2 linked regions of the Canis lupus familiaris genome follow. The protein of the gene in region 2 interacts with the protein of the main gene of each other region in a pairwise test. Links are inferred from orthologs where the notes say so. Each region holds a gene or a part of one and is shown on either strand. Other genes may lie near its edges.

The links. The genes of interacting proteins can lie anywhere in the genome.
Region 1: the proteins of THAP1 (region 2) and C6H7orf50 interact in binary tests that used the Homo sapiens proteins (3 or more experiments, as listed by UniProt). The two-hybrid records come from large-scale screens. The link is inferred for Canis lupus familiaris from reciprocal best matches to the Homo sapiens genes THAP1 and CHLSN.

What each region holds. Positions count from the first base shown.
Region 1 is NC_049227.1:16,009,026-16,016,705, forward strand, and holds part of C6H7orf50 (uncharacterized protein C7orf50 homolog), read left to right. Parts: intron 1-5,119; coding exon 5,120-5,319; intron 5,320-7,680. UniProt on the Homo sapiens protein: Hormone secreted from the intestine in response to cholesterol, where it acts to inhibit cholesterol synthesis in the liver and VLDL secretion,leading to a reduction in circulating cholesterol levels. Acts through binding to its receptor, GPR146.
Region 2 is NC_049237.1:23,671,079-23,679,558, reverse strand, and holds the start of THAP1 (THAP domain-containing protein 1), read right to left. Parts: upstream 4,117-8,480; 5' UTR 3,441-4,116; coding exon 3,370-3,440; exon of another isoform or gene 3,285-3,369; intron 3,146-3,284; exon of another isoform or gene 2,890-3,145; intron 2,884-2,889; exon of another isoform or gene 2,459-2,883; coding exon of another isoform or gene 2,406-2,458; intron 1-2,405. UniProt on the Homo sapiens protein: DNA-binding transcription regulator that regulates endothelial cell proliferation and G1/S cell-cycle progression.

The DNA of each region.
Region 1 (7,680 bases), on a different chromosome or scaffold from region 2:
CAGCAAGACTGTCCTCTCAGAGCCTTTCTCGGTATCCCAAAGCTGCCCCCACCCAAAAGGCTGCCTGCTCCCCAGGCCCCGGGACCCCATAGCTGGGCTGCTGTACTGGGTGCAGGGAGTAGGGCTGGCCAGTTCTGAGGGGCAGGGGAAGGGGTGAGAGCCCTTCCCACTATAAGCCAAAGATGTGGGACAGAGACACAGGCTCATGCAGCACACTCTCTCTTCAGCCTTAGACTGGGTCCCCCCAGAAGCAGAGTGACCGACAGATGAGGCACAGGAACCTGATTTGGAGATGCAGCTGTGGGGGCAGGAGCGCCAGGAGCTGTGGGGTGAGCCTCAGCACACCCCTAACCCTCCCACCCAACAGGCCTGGCCCCAGTGCCTACCAGAAACAAGCTAAAAGTGTGGGGCCAGGTGTCCCTGTCCCCCAGTGGCCAGTGTTGGCCACAGCAGCCCCCCAGGGGTATGTGTTCATAGCTGCTGCTCCCCAAAGGAAAGACCAGGGTGAGGGGAGGCTGACCCAACCCAACAGTTCAAGTGTCCCTCCCTTTGTGAAGTCGGATATTTGAGAGGGAGAGAAAAGTCCCACTGGACATCTGCCCCATCCCCTGCCGCCACCTTGGCCTGCATCCCTCTGGTCTCTTTGCCAATGTCTTCTCATTGGGGAATGACAGTGGCTGTTGGCTTCTGTGGGTTCTTGAGTTTGGGCCTGGGGTGTTTGCAGGGGAGCCTGTGCTCTGTGACCAAGTCCAGTGCCTGGAGAGGCCCCTCTCCTGGATCCAAAAAATGCTGAGCCTGTTCTCCTACATCCTGTACTACATCCTGCACTACATCCTACCTATATCCTGCAGCTCTCGGTGGAAGGTTTTTCTGCTGGGTGGAGTCTGTGGTAACCTTTCCAAATCAAAGTCATATCATTTCTCCCCTGACTCGTGCCAGGAATTACCAAGGTGAAAGAAAATGGTGGCTTATGGGACACCTGGATGTCTCAGTGGTTGAGCATCTACCTTTGGCTCAGGTCATGATCCAGGGATCCTGGAATCGAGTCCTGCATTGGGTTCCCCACAGGGAGCCTGCTTCTCCCTCTGCCGATGTCTCTGCCTCTCTGTCTCTCATAAATAAATAAATAAAATCTTTTAAAAAATGATCATTTATAACGTACTCATCTTTCCTCAAACAGTGTCAACGTTTCTATCAGAGGTGCCCCCATATTTCTTTTACTTACCTAGTTTCACTCTTGAGTCTGGGACTTTTGGGTTTGTTTATTTCCAGTATGTTTAATACATGCAGCCAGTGTTTTCATTGCCCTAGAAGCCGGTAAGGATTTGATTTTTAGTGCATTTAATGACATGAACACTACGTTACTTACTATTGTACTTGAAAACATTTATGTTGAGATGACCTAGAAGAAATTCCAGGTCCCTCGGTCATACCACCCATCATCCTCCTTGGTGGCAGTGGCAGGTCCATTTGTCCTGCCTGAAGTTTTCCATGTGCATTGAGTTATTTTTGTGCCTTTTGAAACACAGTCCAGGAGACGTCTAACAGTAAGAGAATGTGTTGCTGAAAGTTTGACTTCCCGTAATAGGAGATTCTGTATGTGGTCCAACGTGGAATGCCAGAAACCATGGCAGCACTGCTGTGCGGTCATCCCATCTCTGTAGAAATGCGTGTTTGCATGGAGGCTGCACACTGTCAGTTCCACGTGTTTGTGACAAGCAAACAGGCAGCAGACCAGGGTGGTGGCAGATTCCCCCCATGTTGTCCAGTCTGTGTTTTGGAAAAGGGTCGTGTTCACAGCTGGTGATCTGCTGCCGCCCTAGACTTCCCCTGGAGAGTGGGCCAGGCCTGCAGGGGGCTGGGGGTGCTCCCCCTCTCACCCCATGACACTCCCAGAAGGGACCCCAATAGGCTTCGATGATCTGACTGCTGCATTCCTTTTAAGATTTTTCTCTGTTTACATGGGCTGTTCACAACCTTTAAACGAGGTAACTTTGAGGGGGTATGGGTGATGGTGGCAGGTGTGTCCCAACTGTTGTTTGCTAATTAAAACCGAGTTCTGTGGAGGGTTATCAGAGCAGTGGCCACTGGAAGAAGTTCATTCTCAGCTGGAAGGAAAGTTGTATTAATAAGCCTTGCCTCCAGAGATGGTGGTATCACTAAAAGCTCGCAGGCGGCCCCTGGCAGCTGCCGTGCTTGAGAACCCCCCTGCACAGGCGATGCTGCAGGATGAGGGAAGCAGGGGGGTCCCGGGTAGGTCCCCATGGCCCTCACCCTGACGTGCTGGGAGGTCCCTGGGTCCAGCCAGTGCCTGTCCTGCTGTCTCCCATCCCAGCCCCTACCCCCTGGTCCCATGCAGGCTCCACCATGGCTGACACAGCACTCTGGCCCTGCCAGCCTAATGTCCACACAGGGCACCACTCCAGAATAGCTGACGTCACTCGTGTGATGGTAGCAGCAATGGGGGTGTCACCTGGTCCAGGCCAGAAAGGTCAGGGCACCCAGAGCAAGGAGACCAGGTGAGGTCCACGCAGCAGTGGGCACCATGGCCAGCCCAGTTACCCTGCAGCCCTCACTTGGCCTGTCCCTGCTGTGTGGGCCAGGTCACAGCCCTGCATACCTGCACCCACCTCTTTATCTTCAAGCAATGCCAAGGACCTTTGTGTTTTTCACAAATCATTGCTTGGATTCATGTGCTCACCTCCCGGTGAAGGACCACAGCTGGAGGAGAGGCAATGGTCTGTCACCCTGTCCCCCTCCTTGGCAGTATTGGTGGGAGAGTGGCTCTGGTTACTTTCCTTGGTGGCCCCTACCCTCTGAAGAGAATCAGAAAGGGCCAGTGTTTAGGGAAAGGAAGGCTGGTCCAGGTGGAGAGTCTGTCTTGGTGTTAGGGGTCAGAGGGCTTGGGTCAGAGGTGCTGGCTTCCTCGTCTGCTTCACACAGTATGGTTTGTTTTGCTGTCATACTGTGCATTGTTTAAGCTGCCAGCCCTTAAAATTCAGGAGGCTTCACCCTGTGTGATTCTGTTTCCAGCTTCTCTGGAGAGGCCTCTCAGCCTGGGCTGTGGCCAGGGTGTGGGCATCCAGCTGGACCCCCTCAGCGTCCCTGGCTGACCCCTGGCACAGTCAAGGGTGGGCATCACGGCCCTCTGAACAACTCTGGAGGCACATTTAGCTCCTGAGGACGCAGAGCATGGGCTCCAACTACCACCACGCCAGGGTGACCGTTAGCCAGAGAGAGAAAGAAGCTATCTGTGTCCTTTCCAAGTTCACATGTCCTTAATGCTGGGTGTTGTAGAAGAAGAAGCCAGACCTCACAGGCCACACCGCATTCAAGTCCTGGCCACCAGCCTGGTGGCCCCTCTGTGGGGACTGCACACACTCCGCAGGCCACCCCTGGGCCCTCAGGAAGCAGACAGGGCTCCATCTCCTGTGGGGTAGGCCCCTCCAACCTCGGTGGGAGCATCCTTACCCCACTGGGTCAGAGCAGGAGGCAGAGGCCAGGCCCTGGTGACAGCCAGCACCATGACAGATGCAGGGTTTGTACTCAGCACTCTGGGCAAGGGGGCAGCTGCTTCCTACCCTCCCTGCCCCTGCCCAGGCCCTCAGGGTCAGTGTTGATGTGCCCTCGGCCCCCGCTGCTACAGCCCTGACCTTTCACTGAGACTTTGGCCCTGAAAGGCTGCTGCCCTATTGCCTGCCTGGCTTCAGGGAGGCAGAGGCTGGCCTGCGGCTGTTTGCTGTTCTCGGTGCCAGACTGGCTGTGCTGCCTGCCCAGTCGGCCACCGTGGCCCAGGGCGGTCTGAGCAGGCAGCTGGGGCAGGGGAACTCCCTGCAGACGTCATGCTCATCAGACAGCTGCCCCCTAGACTTCAGGAAACACCTAAAAACCAAAGCCCCTCAGGCAGCTGGGGCGCTGGGCTCCTGGGGCTGTATCTGCGGAGATGCCACTCCTCCCCAAGAAGGGGGTTGTCCAGAGACTCTCCTCTGAAAGCACCTCCCGTCCTGGCGGCCTGAGAGCCCTGCGCTGGCACACGTGTGTGTGTGTGTGTGTGTGTGTGTGTGTGCGCGCGTCCATGCTTGCGTGTGGCACTGCTGGAGACTCCCTAGTGTAACCCTGAAACCCCACTGCTGGTAAATTCAGCTGGTTTTAAAGGGAAGCAGAGGAGGAGCTGACGAAAGCTGCTCTTTTGTTTTAGAAGATTCCGGAAGGATTCAGTGTTTAGTGGGAACACAAAGGTTGTCAGGACGCTGCCATTTTATGAAGGGACTTGCCTGGCCTGGGGGGTGGGGGAGCAGCCGGAGGGAGGGGCGTGGCTCTGCAAAAGCTGGATGCCCCTGGGGCAGCTGGCTAGGCCTCTGGAGGCCTGGGGAGCAGTAGCCAGGTCCCTGGCTGGAATCACAGTGACACTGGCACTGGTGTTGTAGGTTTTCCAGGAAGGGGGAAGGGTGTGCAGCTGCTGGAGTCACACACCACCACCCCCCACCTGGTTTTGAGTCTCATTTGGTTTGATAGTCAGGACTATACCTGGCTGGTGTCTGGGAAAATGGTGTCCAGAAGCCACAGCCAGCCAGATCGGGAGGGCAAGAGGCCACTAGTGCCGCGTCTGCCAGCTGCACAGCTTCCTGCTCTCCTTGGGAGAGGTTTGCTGGAGCAGAAGGGCCTCAGCGGATCCTTGTGGCGGGAAGACTGCCCGTCCCCATCCCCCGGGAGCAGTGTGCCTTTGATTGCGCCTGTACCTCATGTCCTGCTGGGCGGTGGCCTGGGGGTGGCCTGGGGCAGACAGCAGTGGGAATGGGCTGGGGACAGGCGAAGGGCAGTGTCCTGCAGAGCCTCATGGGATGGAGCCCTCCAGGTGGCCCAGAAATCCTTGTCCCCAGCACTGAGCACACAGGGTCTGGAAATGCAGCTGAGGTCACTCAACTTTGACCCGTCCTGGGGTGAGGGTCACCTGAGTCCCCAGGAGGGCAAGACTCTGAGCAGCTGTGTCTCCATTTGCCAGGGGAGCCCAGCACGGGGTGTGGGACAGCCCACCCACCTGGTAGGGGTCAGCTCCTCAGAGCGGGGCTCCAGGATGCTGCGAGACATCCTTGCAGGCTGGTTCTCCCTTGACTTTTAGGGAGGAGCAGTATTGGGGGCTGGGCAGGAGACGGCCCCCCAGCTGCCAGTGCTAACCCCGGAGGAGAAGAGGGTCCTGGAGAGGAAGCAGAAGAAGGAGCGGAGAAAAGAGGAGAAGAAGCGACTGCGAGAGTCAGGAGCAGCCCAGAGCCCACCAGCCAAGCGTTCCGGGGCCCAGCTGGCCCTGGACTACCTCCGTGGGTAAGACGCCCCCCTCGCGTGGGGCCTGGCCAGTGTCCAGGGACTCTGTGGTGTCCTGGGAGGGAATTTGGGCTGTGGACTCAGGTGACCTGGGTCACATCTGGCTCCAGAACCACTAGGACCCTGGGGGCAGTAGGGCCACCACCAGTGGTGCTCCTGTGGTCTGAGGCCTGTCCTGGCAGGTGTCACCACAGAATCATCACCTCCAGTGGGGCTGTCAGAGGAAAGGGAGCAGGGCACAGTCACTGCAGCCATGACTGGAGCCCTTGGGGTGCCCAGCAGACCCTGCTTTACCCTGTCACCACAACCAGGTAGAGGCTGGCAGTTACACTGCTAATAGCTTTGTAGGAAACTTTCTAGAAGCTCCAAGAAAAGTGAGGCCACTGTAACACCACTGGCTTCTCTTTGCAAAGAAACTTATAGGTAAGTAGAGGCAGGTGTTCCAGCAGGGCCCCCCCTCCTGGTTTTCCTCCCCAGAGAGTGAGTTCGTACTTTCTCCGATCTGTACTCACTCTTTAGGCCATGAGCCTCAGCAATCGAGACCAGGTCAGCCTGAGAATGCCTGCCATGGACACATGCTTTCTCTTTTTCCTCATTGTTTTTGGGGAACAGTTTACATGCAGCCACTGCCACAGCCAGGTTAGAACACCTTTGTTACTGCAGAAAGCAGCCTTCTGCTCTCATGCAGCTCCCTACCCCAGCTCCAAGCGAGCCCTCCTCAAACTTGTATCACTGTGTTAGCCCTTGTATCACTGTGGATGTGCCAGTTTGGGACTTGTTCACCACATGGCCTCTTGTGGCCTGCTGCTTCCACCTGGTGTAGTGTTTTGAGGTTCATCCACATGACAGCACATGCCAGCATTTCCTCTCTCCTTATAGCCAAATATGCATCGTGGCTATTGTGGCTGTTGCTGTGGTGCATGCCCATGTGCAGGATTCTGCGTGGAAGTGTTTTCCTTTGTCTTGGGCATAGCCTTGGGGCAGGGTTTGCTGGTGACTGGTGTAGGAGAGCTGCAGACACAACAGTTGCAGCATTTCAGCCCCACAGCAAGGGGAGGTGCTCTGATGATGGCCATCCTAATGAGGGTGGGGTGGCATCTCATAGTCCCCTTCACTGGCATCCTGTACCATGTTGAACCAAAAATCCAGGTAACTCCGTGGGCTGCTGGGCTACCGCCTCTTGGCTCCTCCCTGGAGGGTCACTGGATGGACTCAGTGAGGAAGATGGACTCCTCCCCAGGAGGACAGCTGCCCACTGGCTCTTGAACCTCCACCTGCTGGCCTGCAGAACGCTAGAAGGCCCTGACCTGGCTGCACTGGGGGCAGGAATTCCTCTCTGGAAGCCCGCCTGCCTGCTGAGAAGAGGGCTGCAGATAGGCTCTTGGACTTCTCTCTGCTGCACACACACCCCCACCCCCCACCCCCGGAGCAGCCGGCCAGAGAGCTGAGGGAGCTGTGGCCTGGACTGTGGTCGGAGTTCCCATCCCCTGGCCCATTATTAGCTGTAATGATGTGTAATTCTGTGCGGTGTGGGACCTTCAGTCTCCCTGCAGCCTTGGCTCCTGGGCACAGTGGGTCTGTGCTGGAACCATTGCCCCTTTGGGTGTCTAGTTCTCCAGTGTTGGTATCACCTGGGCACACTCCTCCCACAGTTCCCAGAAGAAGTGGGGAAGGGAGCTGGGGAATCTGTGTCTGCTGGGACCACATGCTGGCACAGCCCTCCTGGCCTCCCTAAACTCAGCAGGGGTGCCAGGGGAAGTCCTAGGCCCAGATGTCCATGGGGGAGGCTGGGGTGACCCGACTGTGTGTCATGTGTGGGGTGTGCCCCACAGGGAAGTGCAGAGACCACACCAGCAGCTTAAGGACACCCAGCCCATTGTCACCCTCTGGGGATCCTCTTCAGGTCTAAGCACTTCTCTCCATACTGGTCTGTCCAGTCTCTGAGGCCTGCCTGGTGCAGGGGCTCAGCACTGTGGGTGCCACCAGCGTCCTCTGAGATCAGAGCAGATGCAACATCCGTGCCTCTCTGAGAGCCAGTCTGCATTTCTGTGAGCCTGCACGCCTGGGCAAATTGCTTTCTGCCAAGGTTAGAGCTGTCCTCCCAGCTAGGTTGGTGCTGGAGACAGAGAAGGCCATTGGGCCCAGGATGGACAGAGGAGCAGGTGGACAGGCCAGGGAGATGCCAGCTACAGAGTGGACCCCAGGCTGTACAGCAGGACACAGAGCCTGACTAGGGCAGCTGGCAGTAAGGACGGGCCAGGAGGCTTGCGGTGCCTATGGCCACTCTCTGTGTAGACCCCTTATGGAAGGCAAAGGGAGGGCTTCACTCTGGATTGCCCAACTCCCTGGTTTTCACCTCAG
Region 2 (8,480 bases):
TGCCTTTGGCCCAGGGCACGATCCTGGAGACCCAGGATCGAATCCCACATCAGGCTCCCAGTGCATGGAGCCTGCTTCTCCCTCTGCCTATGTCTCTGCCTCTCTCTCTCTCTCTCTCTCTCTGTGACTATCATAAATAAATAAAAATTTAAAAAAAAAAAAAAAAAAAAAAAAAAAAAAAAAAAAAAAAAAAAGACAGGCTGATTAAAAATTTACAAAATGTAAAAACATACATATTGAAGGTCAGCCATGCAGACAGATGCATGCAATGGGAAGAGGAGATGATGGGAAGCTGGAAGTGGAAGTCAAGGGACATGTGCAGTACTATCACTGGTCTCCCTCCATTACTTTCAAATAAATGAATAACTTATTTTCACTAACTTTCACTAAGTGATACAGGTATTGCACACACATCTAAATACACAAGGGTAGGGCAGCCCGGGTGGCTCAGTGGTTTAGCGCCGCCTTCTGCCCAGGGCCTGATCCTGGAGACTCAGGATTGAGTCCCACGTCAGGCTCCCTGCATGGAGCCTGCTTCTCCCTCTGCCTGTGTCTCTGCCTCTCTCTCTCCTCTCTGTGTATTCTCAGACATAAATAAATAAAATCTTTTTTAAAAAATAAATATACAAGGGTAATCATATAGCTTCTCTGTCTCATTTATTAATGTTTAACTTTTTATGTCAAAGATACTAAGAGTTTCAAGTAAAATATATACTATAGGGTAAATCTGTACTGATTTTTTTTAATCAATGAAAATAAAATTATATGTTTATATCTACATACTGCAGAAAAAGAAGGTTCTAGTTCTCTTAGGATCAATTTGACAAATATGAATTAATCGAATTATAGTCAAATCATAATGATAAATTTAAATTTTCATGTATTCATTTATTTATATATGTTTGGAATTGAAAGGGGGTGGTTGATTAGTTTCATGAACTTGGATGCCCAAGTCTCTCCTCAGGTTTGGGAAGTTCTTATTTGTTTTTTAATTTTTAAGTTTTTATTTACTGGGGCACCTGGGTGGCTCAGTGGTTGAGCATCTATCTGCCTTCAGCTCAGGTTGTGATCCTGGGGTCCTTGGGATCTAGTCCTGCATTGGGCTCCCTGCAGGGAGCCCCCTTACCCCTCTGCCTATAGGTCTCTGCCTTTCGTGAATAGATAAATTAAAATTTTTTAAATTTATTTTTTAAAAAGATTTTAATTTACTTATTCACAAGAGACACAGAGGCAGAGACACAGGCAGAGCGAGAAGCAGGCTCCATGTGGGGAGCCCAACGTGGGACTCGATCCCAGGTCTCCAAATCACGTCCCAGACTGAAGGCGGCACTAAACCACTGAGCCACCGGGGCTGCCCAATTTTTTTAATTTAAAAAAATAAAAGTTTTAATTTATTTTAGTCTTCTGATTTGTTTTTAATTCCAGCATAAGAATATTATTGATCTTATTTTACCTCGAAATCAACTGGAATATGTCCATCTGGCCCAGAAAAGTGGGCTTAGAAAGGGTTTATATTTACTGTGATTTTACTTTTCCAAGTCAAGTATCTAGTGAAATGGGGAAACTGGAAAGCCAAAGGATGCTTCAACTCCATGTTCTAGCTTCTCTTCTACATAAGGTATGCCAGAGCTGGACTCTGCTATCATGAAGAACTAACCAATCTTTGGGACAGTTCTTTTCTTTGCCCAGAACAGCTGCTGCCACTGGGCCACCATGTAGAAAGTGGTAGAAGATCTCTGCTGGAAATGGCCTCCAGAAATACAACAGATGGTAGCCATCACCAGTAAAATTCAGCCCCTTGGGCCTCCTGTCTTACACACTACAATGATCAGGCTGTTCATGATGGAGTTCTGTGAGAATAATTCCCATCTATTTCCAAAAAATTGTTCTTTATAGGTAAGAAGGAGAGGCAGATCAGCTCCTCCTTTGACCCAATCATTTGACAGCCAGCAGAAACTATTTCTGATGTGTGAACGCCATCCTTAGTTTCTAGTACCAATGAAGGGTTTTCCACATTTTTAGATTCTTTGATTAGAAACGGGGTTGTGCAGAGCTGGCTGTAACATAACAGTGTCACCGTCTTCTGATCTATTCCTACACTTTCAAAGAACTGGAAGTCAATTCATCAGCTTTCAGAAATTCCAACAAATAAAGAAGTGATCTCAGGATATACTGAAGTAGATCCTGGAGTGTTAGGTGCTCTCAGTCGTCCTGCAGGTGGAGGGCAGGATGGGGATGGTGGTGGTGGTCCATCAATCAACACTCAGATCTGCGTGGTAAGGCACTCATTTCCCTGGGTCCCTCTTCTACTAAGCATAAAATGCACCCACATCCCCTGTTACACACGACCCCACCAAAAAAACTGACGGAATACTTAAATTTTGCTTTTGTAATGATTTACTTACGTATAATTGCTATAATTTGCCATCGGTTTGGTAATAATAATGTAAATAATCATATTTATAATAACGTAAAGTCTGTAAACACTTTATTTGGCGGAATGAAAATGCCATCGAGTCCCACTTTGCAGACATCCGATGATCACGAGGTCGTTTCTCCCACAGGCCTCTCTAGCCGCCAAAGCCATCACGGCCCCGGGACCTGTGGGCTTCCTCGGGGGCGAGCCAGCTGTGCGGACCTGGGACCCCATCGCTGCGCGCCAACTGAGGTCCTGGCCGTCCCAGAGGCTCCCTCCAACAGCCAGAGGTGCCCCGAGGTGGGCCCCTAGGCACTGAGTGCACACGTCCTCCCCGAAAGCCTGAGCTGCTGTGAAGCTGGCCTCCCAGGCACGCCAAGGCTGGGAAAAGAGCGGCTCCGTCACGTTCACAGCCTCTGTCTCGGCTCCGTACTGACTCAGGAGGCGCTACTACGCCCTCGCTGCCCTCTTACCCCGAGCAGAGGCTCGCGCGGCGCCCACGGACGCCGCTCCTGGGGCGCCGACACGTCCACGGCAGGCGGCGGACGAACCCCGAGCGTGGATTCCGACTCTCGAGCGCAAGAAACGGCCATGGCAGCCACGCGCAGCCGGAGGCGGCAGCACGAGAGCTCCGACCCAGGCGGGTACACCCGCCGCCCGGCGGACGGGGGACGGGGGACGGGGGACTAGGGACCGCGAGGAGGACCGGCCTGCCCCGGCCCCTCGTCGAGGCTCGCGCGCACACCCGCTGGCCCCGCCCCGCCCCGCCCCGCCCCGCCCCGCCCCGCCCCACTTATCAGGGCTCGCGCGCACACGCGCTGGCCCCGCCCCTGCCCCACCCCGCCCCTCATCCGGGCTCGCGCGCACGCAAGCTGGCCCCGCCCCCGAGCCTAACCGGCCGCTCGCCCCCAGCCCGAGCTGGGCCAGCCCCGCGAGACGCGCGGGGTACTTACTTGTGGAAAGAAACGGGCTTATCCTTATCGTACCGGTTCTTGCAGCCGTAGGCGGAACAGGACTGCACCATCCTTCCGGCCTCCACTCACTTCACTTCTGCCGCTCCCGCAAGCAGGAGAAGCGGCTATCGATGCCGCTGCGCTGCGCTTTGACACCCTCACTCCTTCTGTAGCTTTGGTCAACAGTTTCTGTGATGATAAGCTCCCCCGCATTGACTACTGTGCCCGTTTTGTTGTTTGCATTAGCAGAAGGACCACAGCCATCGCCCGTCTCCCATCTCCAAGATGGCGGAGGCAGCTTCAACCTCACCTCTCGCGAGGAGTTTGTCCCACTGTCTGATGAGCCCCGAGGTCAGAGGTAACGTTCCTTGGGAAGCAGGCCATTGGCTAAGGCCAGGCGTTGCGGTAGTGGGTGGGGCCTCCGAGCTTCCGGAAGAGGGAGAGGAAGTGTTTTGGGAGTAGCGGAGAGGCGAGGGGAGGGGACGGAACCGTGAGCGCGGGGCTAGACTCCGCCACCTGCTTGGCCCCGTGTGTTAGTTTATCTGGGACGATGCGGGGTGGAGAGCAGCGGGGTCTTTGGGTGTGGTGGCGTAGAGGAGGGCAGGTATGAGGGTGAGGCCTTTGGGTAGCTCTTCCCGTTTCTCTCAAAGGGCAGCCACAGATGGAATATGATCTGTGAAACTCTGTGGACCCTTGCCCACATCGCCAGGCTTCATCCCATTCATTACCTGCCCTGCAGGTGTCACAAGGCTCTGAGGGCGCAGGCGCCTGAACTGTGGCAGTGCGAGCGGACACTCGCTCCCGCCGGAGGGCGTAGCGGTAGTGCCCCGCAGGTGCCGGGTGGGATCGCGAGCTGCGCGGGTGGGTCCGTCCGCTTGCCTCCGGCGGCGTGCCCTCCCGTCTGCAGGTCGGGGCCTGCGAGTCTGCAGCGCAGGCTGGTGACGAATTCCACGGCTCTATTGTACTCTTTCTGCCTACCCCCGCCTCAGTCCTCGTGGTTCCCCAGGGTTCCATCCTCCGCCCTCCTCCTCCTTAACACCCTGCTGCTTGAGTTCAATAAAACGCTCTGATTTCCTAATGGTCTTCTATTTCTTATGTAAATTTTTCTGCCTTCGATTATCCTCTGTGAATTATGTGTTCAGTTGCTTAAACCGGAAACCTTAGATTTCTTTCCCACTCTCTACATCTGTTTGATGACCAGGATAAGTTTATAAAGTAAGTAAATACTTGTTAAATCCATCCCTCCTCTCCTCGTTGTTCTTGATCAGGCCCTCTCGCGTTCTCTTAACCATGCAACAGCCTCTGACTGTCCGAGGTCTCGTTTTGCCTCTCCAGTCTATCCTCCACAGAAGGTAATTGTCATACACCTGTTCACATCTTCAAAAGCTGCCTCTACTCGATAGTGTCATAAAGCCCTTGAGGACCGGCTACTTCTACCTTTTCACTGTATTCTCCATCCACTTGTCTTTAACTCTTTCCTACCATCATGTTTCACACAGGGCAGGCATTCTCCTGGCTTCCATAAATAGCCTGTTTGCCCTTAGGCTGAAATGCCTCTCACTGACCTGTCCACCTTCAAGATGTGGCTCAGGTGTTATGTTTTCTAACATGCTTTCTCTATCCTCTTTTTCTTAAGCCTCTCAACTTAGGCACCTCTCTTGTTCCAACGAAAACTTTGCGTTTAACCTCTCTGTATATGAACCATACGTTACTGTATGGTTGTCCCACTTCATGGACTGAGGCCCTGTTGAGGAGGACTTTGTCTTAGCCTTGTAACCCCAGCAGCTTGCAGTGTCTGGCATTAAGTATCTAGAAAATGTTTGTTAAATCAACTGGGCCCAGAAAACTTGAGGAATTTCAGAGCCATATCCTTTCACCAAATACTAAAATAATAGTTTATTAGCATTTCCAGGGATAGACAGAAATTTCTTCTGTGGTTTACTGTGCATGCAATAAGGATGAGAATGTGATAGGGATGCCTGGATGGCTCAGCAGTTAAGCTCTGCTTTTGTCTCAGGGCATGATCCTGGAGTTCAGAGATCCATCAAGCTTCCTGAGGGGAGCCTGCATCTCTCTCTGCCTATGTCTCTGCCTCTCTCTCTCTCTGCCTCTAATGAACAAATAAAATAAAATCTTTAAAAAAAAGTGTGATAGCTGCTTGTGAACTGAAAAGTATATTTTAACTAAGAGTTCACTGAAATTGACTCATCAGCTGATTCAGCAGATATTTACTCAGCATTTGCTATGTTCTATGCACAGTTCTAGGGACTTGAGATACATAAATGAACAAGACAAAGATTTCTGCCTTCACGGAGGTAATAGTCTAGTGGAGGTTGGAGGGGGCAGACAAAGAACATAAAACCATATGACATGTTAAAAGGTGAAAGGGGCTATGTGGGGGTGAGGAGGTTGCAATTTTAAATACAAAGGATAGGACAGGCTTAGTAGAGACTACTGAGCCAAAATTTGGAATGGGTAAGAGTTAGCTAGAAATATATCTGGGGGAAGAGTCTTACAGGCAGAGGGAATGGCTAAGGTAAAACTCTTGAGGCTCAGTGTCCCCAGCCTGTACAAAGAACAGTAAAGGGGCCCGTGTGACTGGAGCAGAGTGAGCTGGGGGGACAAATAATAAAGTCAGAGGAAACAGGCTGAGGTCATGTAGGGACCTGTAAGCTAGCGTAAGGACTTTGACTTTTACTCTGAGATGGAGAACATGGTTTACGCAGAGAAATGATCCAGTCTTTTAAAACCATCACTTTGCTGTGTTGAGTATAGATAGCAGGGGGTACTTAGAGGCAGAGAGACTGATAGGCAGGCTTCTATGGCAGTGTAGGTGAGAGAGGATGGTGGCTTAACCTGGCTGGGAATAAGGAATAAGAAGTGATCTTGTCTTCTCTCCTTTTCTTCCCTTCCATTTCTTTATTTACATTTATTGAGCAAATGGCAGACATTATGCTAGGTCTGGGAATATACTGGTGAGCAAGATTAACAGTCCCTATCTTCACAGAGCTTATTGTAGTAAGGGGAAGACAGACAATAAGAAGGTGAATAAAATAACATTGTGCTGAGATGCCTGAATACATAGAGGAGGGGTCACTAGCTGGGGTAGGTGGATCATCTGAGAAGGGAATATTTCGCTGAGAAAGAATGGAAAAAGATCTAACACTGAAGAATGAAAACGGGGAGGCTGGGAAGAGCATTCTCCATACAGGGAGTGTGTACTGAGGACCCGTGGCAGCAGCGAGTTTAGTTATTTTCTGGGAACTGAAGGAGGCTGCGGCATGAGTCCAGGAGCCAGGGGAATCAGGGCATGAAGTGAGGTTGACATACGTTTAGATTTTAAGTGCAGTAGGAAGCCAATGAACCTTTTTAGGCAGGGAGAGACATGACATTTTTAAATGTCATTCTATTAGATGAAGAGCTTTTCAGAGGGGCAACAGTGCAAGTGAGCAGCAGACCAGTAAGAGGCCATGGCAGGCTAGTAACACAGCTTGGTGACTTGGACTAAGGTAGTGGTAGTGGAGATGGAATGACCAGGATTTGAGAACATGTTGGATGTAGAAATGTCAAGGCTTTGTGCTAATATGAGAATGCAGAAGAGAGAGGAATCAAGGTATTACATTTATGGCTTGAGCATTTAGATGGAGGGATGGCCTTAAAAAAGAAAACAAGTGCTATCCTCTTCTCCCCACAAAATAGAGGACTTGCAGAGTGGGAGCAATTTCTGAAGTGCAGTCATCAGTTCTGGGAGTGTAGGACTGGAGAATGTCAGAAGAAAAAGACCAAAAGTACTCAGAGGTTGGTCATACAGGCTACTAAGGAAGCATGCAAGGATCACCAACCAGTGCAGAGCACTCTTTTGAAGTTTGTAATAATTTTTAATCAGTTTGTTTAGAGTGAAACTAGTCAGTTTAGTTACTTGGTTGGATTTCCTTTAATGAAGTTCTCTTCTTCAGTCCCCCTTTTTGTTTTCTTTCTTCTAGGTATTAATAACTTAGAAGTGAAATCTATATTTTTATTATTTATTGACAATAATCCTAATGTTTCCTTACTTTGAAATGGTAAATTTATTTTAGTATATGTGCTGCCAAAGCAAGCACTGCAATGGTAAATTTATTGACCAAGTAAATTGCCTGTAATTTTTAAAATATTAATTGAACTGAATGTTGAATTTTTCTAACCCCCCCCCCCGAATTTAAATTTTCACTCTTGTGTAGTCTCACATTTAATAGAAAAATAATTTCCACTTTCTCTAAACTAATATATATGCATTGTCTGTTTTTCTTCTCTCCTTTGCCCATTTCTTGTCAACATATTTCTTAAGGCTCATATAACTATTCTCTACTCACCCCTCTCTGGTCAAGGGGTGATTGCAGGGAACATTTATTTCAAAGAGGATGATCTGTCTTTTTAACAATTCAAATGGCCATTAATCAGTTGAATGAATAAATTGTGGTATAGTCATACAAAGGAATACTATACAGCAATCAAAATAAAGAAACTATGACCCGCAACAATATGGATGGTTCTTACGTAATATTGAAGAAGTCACACAAAAGCAAATATATGATCCTGTTTTTTTACAGAGTAAAAAAGGGTTGGTAAAAGTCAAAAGTTACTTTGGGGTAGAGAGGGAATGAAAGGGGGCATATGAGATGGTGGTAATGTGTCTTTTGACTGAGGTGATAGTTAAACAGTGCGTTCACTTCATGATAATTCATCATCTGACCCTGATGATTTAGAAAATCTCTGGTGTAAAAATCTGAGGGTCAGTGGAGGGGAGGTGGGTGGAGGATGGGGTAACTGGGTTCTGAGCATTAAGGAGGGCACATGATATTATGAGCACTGGGTATTATATGCAACGATGAATCACTAAATTCTACCTCTGAAACGAATAATACACTATATGTTTAACTGAATTTAAATTTAAAAAATTGTTTTTGAGTAAATAAATAAAATCTTAAAAAAAGGGGGGGGGAATCCCTGGGTGGCTCAGCTGTTTAGCATCTGCCTTCGGCCTAGAGCGTGATCCTGGAGACTCGGGATGAGTCCCCCATCAGGCTCCCTGCATGGAGCCTGCTTCTCCCTCTGCCTGTGTCTCTGCCTCTCTC